Linked DNA regions of Diceros bicornis minor. The protein of the gene in region 1 interacts with the protein of each later gene in a pairwise test. Links are inferred from orthologs where the notes say so. Each region holds a gene or a part of one and is shown in the gene's direction. Other genes may lie near its edges.

Region 1 (3,744 bases):
CTGAAGAGAGTCAAGTAAACGCATGATTACAACGCAGTACCGGGAAAGCCACAATTAGAATGAGCATCTAATACAGATGGGGGAGTGGAGAAGGTGAAGGAACATTTTCCAGAAATGGCAAAGACTTCCATGCCTCTTTCCTACACTGAACCAAGTCCTGAAAGACCAGAAGGGGTTACCCAGGTGAAAGATAGGAAGGAAGGGTGTTTCTAGCAGATAGTGAGCGACATTTGCAAAATCCCAGAGGGAAGACACCGTAGAGTCTGGTTTGGAAACTGGCAGTGGTTTTTCAGAGCTGGAGTAGAGGCGGGGGGCAAAGACAGGGATGGAGGGCGTTGGCAGGCCCCCCCGACATAATCTCTGACCACGCTAAGGAGTTTGCATCCTGAAGGCGGCGGGCGGAAAGGCTAGAAGAATATTGAAGCAGAAGAGTAACAGGTGCATCACGAATTGTAATAGGATGGCTCTGGAGGCAAGATCATTTAGTTGTTTGTTGGTTTTTTTTTTGAAAGAAAACCAGGCAAGAAATAATGGGGCCTCAACTGAGAGAGAGGAGGTGGTGACTAAGAGATGCCAGCGTGTCCAACCAGTAGGACTCAGGGAGGGACTAGCTGTAGGTGTGGGGGAGAGGAATCGAGGAGGCTCTTGGCCTTGGCATCTTGGGTGACAGGGGCCGCGTTTTGTGCCAACTGACCACACCTTGGCCACCCTGATTGGGCCAGGAACGAGCACTTTACAAATATTTATTTCAAATATAAAAATGTACAGGGGAAGGACTGAGGATGGTGGTTACCGCTGAATGGGTTTTCATGGGGAGGGGCGAAGACGGATGGGGTGTGTGTGGCTTTGGCTTCATCTCGAACGTTTTAATTACAAAATAAAGGCTGATGTAAATGTAACATTAACTAGCGTTACATTTCTGTGAGCACGAGCACGCGGGTGTCATATTCTTTTTTGCGCTTTTCTGTCTGTTTGAACTAAATTTAATAACCAAATGGCAAAAACTGTTGTGGCAAGAATCGCAGGAGCTTTAAGTACCGGAAAGCCTTTGAGCTCTAGAAAGGGGTTAAACTAGAAAGCGGCGGGGGCGGGGAATGGTGCAGTTGCCAGTCTTTGTCTGTGCACAATGCGTGTGGAAAGAAAAGCCCCGGGGGACCTGTGCGTGCCGGCGGAGTTGAGCCGGGGTGGGCGGGGGAGGAGGTGCGCGCGGGGAGCTTCCCGCCTGGCCCCGCCCCTCCCCGGCCCCGCCCAGAGCCCCCGGCCCGCCGCAGCCCCTCCTCCTTCGGTGACGCCGCCTCTCGTCTCTAAGTAACGAGGGGGGGGTCAAACGACGCGGCCGAGGGGCGGCCGCTGCCTGACGGTCCCTTTCCTCCGGGACCCTTGAGCCCTGGCCGCTCAGAGCCATGGCCCTGCCGTTTCTGCCTGGCCACAGCTTCAAGCGCAACGTGAGTAGTGAGGGCGCCCAGGGTCAGAAGTCCCGGCCGGAGTGTGGGGTCCAGGCGTGGTCTCCTCCTAGACCCTACTGGAGGCCTCCTGCCTCTGCTTCGCCTTCTAGGTGAATTGGGCACAACTTCGACCAAACTTTATAGGCTGGTGGGACCCTTGTTCTGGGCCTCCCCTTCCCTGTATCTCTCAAACTGCATCTGGATGCTTTTCCTACATGAGATACATAAGTAGAGTCCTTAGAGGTGGCAGGACCCTCAGAGGTAGCCGATGGTAGTGATGATGATTACAACCGTCGTTGAGTGTTTGAGGTGTGCCAGGCGCTGTGCTTTCATCGCCTTACACGGCGTTTGATGCTCCCAACAGCCCTTTGTTTTAGGTAGTATTTTTATTCCCATTTTACAGTTGAGGAAACTGAGGCACAGAGCGATGAGTCACTCATTGGCCAGAGCTACACAATCTCAGTGGTGAAGCTGGGTTTCTTCCAGGCAACTTGTCTCCACAGCCCAGGAACCTAATTATTATCCTTAATTAGAGGAAGTTTCTGTTATTAAAGTGAAGAAACCTGGCACACTGGAGGCTAGTAGGGGGCAGATAGGTGAGGGTTCCACCAGCTTATAAAGTTGGATCCTAAACTTTATAGAGAGAAGCACCCAAACTTAAAGTTCTTTTCTTTATTTAGAATTGGGAGGGGTTCATTTCAAAACAAGATGAAGTTACAAAACACCATAACAACACAAAAAACCCTGAGCAGGAAAGAACTTTTGCCAGGAAATAGCCCCTTATTTAAACAACAGCAGAGAAATGATTCAAGCTTTTGTTTGCACTGGTCACTACTTTTTACTTGGAATGTCCGTTGTGTCTGTAGGAAGAAGGTAAGTAATCCACTGGTGGGAGGGAACTAGATGGAGCCACTCAAGGTGTTTGTGTAAACCTCTGATAAATTTGGAAAACAGGCAGCAGATTGAAGCGTTCGATTTTATGGAGTCTGAACAGTGTCTATGTCCAAGTTGTCGGCCTCCAAGTACCAGTTTCTTCCTGGCTTCAGACCACTGGATTCTGACCCCCACAGATCGGCTGGTTAGTCCAACTTGCTTCTTGAACAGTGGTTTGTGTATTTCTTGGCTGATAGGGTAGAGGCTGGCCTTCTAGCCTAGCACTGCCCTGTGGTAAGGTTAAGCCAGCCACACAAATAAGAAAGACCTCTGAGAGGCAGGGCATGAAAAAAGATTCCAGAAGGAAAGAAGCATGCTGTATAAAAGTAAGTTTAATAAAAATTGAAAGTAGAGCCCACAGCTTTCGCCCAGCGTCACTTCAGATTACAGATGCCCACCTCCTGCAGAAGTTTCCCAGCTCTCACATGCAGTGATTAAGAGTGGGAAGGAAAAACAGTGGTTGGATGAGATATTTTAAAATCTGCTGGCTGCACTGAGTGTACTTTTGCTTTTTTTTTTAACTTTTTTTTATTGTGAAGTACAACACATGTACAGAAAAATGCACAATGGATGATCACAGGATGAACATCAAGAAATAGAATATTACCAGTATTCCAAAAGCATCTCTCTTAACACGGTTGCCAGAGTTAGCAAATAAAAATACATATCCTAGATATTCCCTGGGACCTACTTATACTAAAAGATGACTTGTTCTTTATCTGAAATTCAAATTTAACTGAGCATCTTATATTTTATGTGGCAACCCTTCTTATGACCCTTTCTGGTCATTACCCCTTCCCTTTTCTCTAAAGGTAACCACTATCCTGGCTGCTGTCACTATAGTTAGATTTTGCTTGCTTTTGAACTTATCAATGGAAATGTCCAGTGTTTAATTCTTTTGTGACTGGCTTTTTTTAGCTCAACATTGTGATTTGTTCATGTGGCTGTCTGTCGAGGTAGTTTGTACATTTTCATTGCTCTATAGTATTCCATTGTATGAGTGTGACGTCATTTATATACACATTTTTCTCTTGACAGATTTGGTTTGGGTTTATTAAGCATAGTTTGCTGTGGCTATTCTGGTTCATGTCTCTTGGTACAATTGCTAGATCATACGGTATTCGTATGTTCAGCTTTAGTAGACACTGTCAAAGTGATTATATCAATTTAAATTCCCACCAGCATTTGATGTTCCTCTTGCTCCACATTCTTTCTAACACTTGATACTGTTAGTCTTAGATTTTAGTTACTTTGGTCAGTGGATGTAGTGCAACTCTGTAGTTTTCATCTGCGCTTCCCTGATTCCTAATGAAGTTAAGCACATTTCATACATTTATTGGTTATTTGGATATTGTCTGTTGTGTAG
Region 2 (3,744 bases), on another chromosome or scaffold:
CCACCACGAGGTGAGAGACGGCAAAGCTTTCCTGGAAGTCCGCCTGACATTTTCACCTTTGACTTCCTTCATTGCACCTTTGTGCTCACTGCAGTCACCACAGGACCCTCTGTGGGGCATAATTTTCCAAGTCCTGCATCAGGCAGGTCTCGCATCATAATTTACACATCGTGCTCAGCCCCGCCCCCCTTATTCTGCATCAATTTTCTCTTAGTGGGGAGACCAAAGACCAGAGACAGCAGCTAAGGCGGGGCTGCACACATCGAGGGAGGAAGGAAGACAGCAGCGCCCCGAGCCCAGTCTGTCTGTCACGGAATGGAGGAAGTTGCAGGACCAGGCCCGGGCCCGAGAGAAACGGGGTTCAGCCTGGGACTCGAGATCCGCACCTGTAAAGTCAGAAGCAGCTGGCTGTCCTAGCCAGGCCAGGAGCGCCACCTCCGGGTCCCAATACCCGGCCAGCGCACCCCCACAAATAGCCCGTCCCGCTTGCCCCTCCCCGGAGCTCGTGGTCCTCGGCCTGGCAGCCAGCCGCCCCCGGCCACCTACCGGGGCTCAGGGCCACACAGCGGGGCCCCGACTCTCGGCGGCCTCCGCCTCCTCCCGGTCCATGGGGTCGGGGCCCCAACTTTCGCTCCCCTCACCCAGAGGAGGAGTTAGAGGAATAAGGTAGTGCGGACTCCCCACCCGGACAGCTCCCTGTCGCCTCAGCCTCCCTGGACAGCGACGGCGGCCGGAAACGCCGCCTCCTCCCACCTCTTCGGCTCAACCCGGAAACACACTCTTCCTGCTAAGCAAGCCTTCCTAGCCCCCCGGAAGCTCAATTCCAGCCGCGAGCCCGAGGAGGAGGAGGGGCAGCGCTGGGGGGTAGAACTACGCACGAGCGACGGAACTTGGGCCCCCAGGCTGTCGCCTCCCGCTCTCCACAGGCAGTCTGCACCTTCGCCTGCCCTGCGCGAGCCCCAGGCCCCCGACTCAGGCAATACCCACAAAAAAGATGGCGGCAACGGCAGCACCCCCCCACGGTTTAGCGCCCAGCCGCGCCATTGGCCAGAGCCTGGAGTGAAGCCGCTGCGGATTGGTCGAGAGCACTGCGGGGGTGGGGGTGGAGCTGCAGCAGCCTGGAGCCGGGAGTGGGCAACGCGGCGTGAGCAGCGGCCCCAGGCTCCTGGAGCATCGCGCTCGGAGAAGACTTCGCCGTTCGGGGCCGCAGCCTGGTGAGCTCAGCCCCCTTCAGGCCCACCCCTACATCCCAGCCGGGGCTTCTCCGAGCCGGCGCTGATCGATGCGACACACCCCGGGGACCCTATCGCGACTCCATCGCGCCATATCGCGACATCATCGTGCCCTGTCGAGACTCCATTTTGTCACAGCCCTTTTCAATATATAGCTCTGTTTTTTTAATTTGCCTTGTCATCTTTGGGGGCTGTCCCATGTCGTGATTTTGCCGTGATCTCCGTGACATCACCGCGCCATCGTGAAGTGTGAGCTCATCGCCGCCTTGTCGTGACTTCATCAATGTCGTGTTGTGACCTGGCTGCAGCGGGACAGGTGGTGACCGCCAGGATCCCTCCTCCCCTTCTCATCTCCCCATCTCAGCAGCCTCGCTTCGATTATCTGGCTTTTGGAGTCTCCGTTGTCCTGGAAGCTACCCGGGACCCCTTCTTGCTTCTCCAGCCCCTGCCGCCGTCCACAGGCTGGTAGCGGGGCAGGGAGGGCTAAGAGAGGGAGCGCAAGGGGTTAATTCTGCTGCTGCTTCTGCTGCTGCTGCTGCTGCTGCTGCTGCTGCAGCTTCTGCCCGAGGGAGGGAAAGGAGAGGAGGCAAGGAGCCTGCGGGGGCGACTGAGAGCCCTGGCTGGAGGGGTGGGGTCTCCAGAGGGGCTTCCAAACCTTCCCTGGTCAGCGCCCTGCATCCTCAGTTCTGCTGAAGCTGGTCTCCTGCCTCTTCTGAAGAAGAGAGAGGAAAGGAAACCTAGGATGCCCTTTTCCCTCATGTCCTCCTGAGTCCGGATAATCGAACTTCACTCATGTATGTCTCCATTCCTCCCTGTCTGTTCTTACCACTCCCTCCATGTGTGCTTGGTGGAGGGAGATAAAACCCCGCCTCTGGTGCTAGGGGACAGCTGAGCAGTGGGGCCAGCCTCCTCCCACCCCCAGGAGATTGGTGAGGAGAGCTGTCCAGCGGAGCAGCAGGATGCATGGTTCTTCTTTCCCGCTTTCTGGAGGTGACCTTGGACCAGGTCCCTTCTTCATCCCTAAGGATTTGAGGGTCCGGCCCCTTAAAGAGGCTCCCCAAGGGAGGTTAGTCCTGAGGAGCCCATTCCTCTTGATCCTCCCCTCCCTCTGTGCTAATCCCTCCCTCCATCCTCCGCTCCCACCCCCACCCCCACCTCTCCTCTGCAGAGGGATGCTCAGTCCCTCTTGTGTTCACAGTTGGGCAAGGCGGGCATCATGGCCTCGGATTGCGAGCCAGCTCTGAACCAGGCAGAGGGCCGAAACCCCACCCTGGAGCGCTACCTAGGAGCCCTCCGTGAGGCCAAGAATGACAGCGAGCAGTTTGCAGCCCTGCTGCTAGTAAGGAACTGACTGAAAATTGGGAGGTGGGAAGGGCTGGGTGGTTGGGCCCCCTAGGAATGGGGTCAACAAGTCCCCAATGATATATAGGCAACCCTGGAGACACCAAAGAAGGCTTAAGACGCCTACCTTTGGACTCTTTTTTGCTCCTCTGAATATGGAGGCAAAGGGGAGAATGGGGGTGAATAAGGCTTGTGGCCCTAGGAGCCTTGGAGGAGGCTGCCTGGGTCTGCTCTCTGGGGCGTCCCAGAGCAGATGGGAGCTGACTCATAGGGTAACAGCAGCAGGTAGTAACTAGTGCAGAGTACTTGAGGGCTGGGGATGATTGTTCTGGGGGTGGAGAGAGTAGCAAAACTGGAAGTGACCAGGAAGGGGTCCCAGGGGATGGCCAGGATGGCAGTAGGTAGGTTGAGGGTAAGGGATCTGATTTGGGGCTTCACCCTATTGGAGGCACCCCAGCTGGGGACAGCAGAGCAGGAGCTGCAGTGCTGGGAAGGGGGGGTTGGTGTGTGGGGGGTGAAGGGAGGAGGGAGTACAGCCACTGTTTGCCATGGCAACAAGGAGAAGGCTCCAGAGTCAAGGGCTCACACTGCAGCAGAGGAGGTGTTTAGGTGAAATGTAAGGGGAAATGTTTTGACAGGCAGAGCGGCGAGACACAGGAGCCATTTCCCCTGAGAAGGTGGCAGGAATGGATGAGAGACTTCTCTGGAGGGAACAATTAGGGAGGGACCCTAAATCCTTGGAGAATTTTAAACACGGAATTCTAAGCCCCTTCCAACTCAGGTTGTAGGCATTCCAGTGCTGGCTGGGCATTTAGATTAGACATCAGGAGGAACTTCCCAACTCACCGGGTGATGAAGCAGCAGAATGAGTAGTTGAGGAGGACTAGACCTCCTTTCCGCAATTATAATCATAGATGAGGAGTCCCAGAGCTCACACCTGTCTGTCTCTGGGGAGAAGGAAGAAGCAGGATGAAATGACCTCTGGGAGGCTTCCTGAGCCCAGAGTGAGTCCCATTACATAACTTAATCCTGCTAATGGTCAATGCACCAGGGTGCAGGGGATAGTCTTTTCCACCTCTTTCTTTCATCCTACTGACAGCACATACCCCCTTAGGTGACCAAGGCAGTCAAAGCAGGTGACATCGATGCCAAAACTCGGCGGCGGATCTTC

The links.
Region 2: the proteins of EFHC2 (region 1) and NCDN interact in binary tests that used the Homo sapiens proteins (3 or more experiments, as listed by UniProt). The two-hybrid records come from large-scale screens. The link is inferred for Diceros bicornis minor from reciprocal best matches to the Homo sapiens genes EFHC2 and NCDN.

Annotation. Positions count from the first base shown.
Region 1 is NC_080781.1:38,621,448-38,625,191, reverse strand, and holds the start of EFHC2 (EF-hand domain-containing family member C2), read left to right. Parts: upstream 1-1,343; 5' UTR 1,344-1,403; coding exon 1,404-1,445; intron 1,446-3,744. UniProt on the Homo sapiens protein: Microtubule inner protein (MIP) part of the dynein-decorated doublet microtubules (DMTs) in cilia axoneme, which is required for motile cilia beating.
Region 2 is NC_080752.1:49,869,396-49,873,139, forward strand, and holds the start of NCDN (neurochondrin), read left to right. Parts: upstream 1-1,021; 5' UTR 1,022-1,214; exon of another isoform or gene 1,215-1,480; 5' UTR 1,481-1,515; coding exon 1,516-1,548; exon of another isoform or gene 1,549-2,298; intron 2,299-2,400; coding exon 2,401-2,571; intron 2,572-3,687; coding exon 3,688-3,744. UniProt on the Homo sapiens protein: Probably involved in signal transduction in the nervous system, via increasing cell surface localization of GRM5/mGluR5 and positively regulating its signaling. Required for the spatial learning process.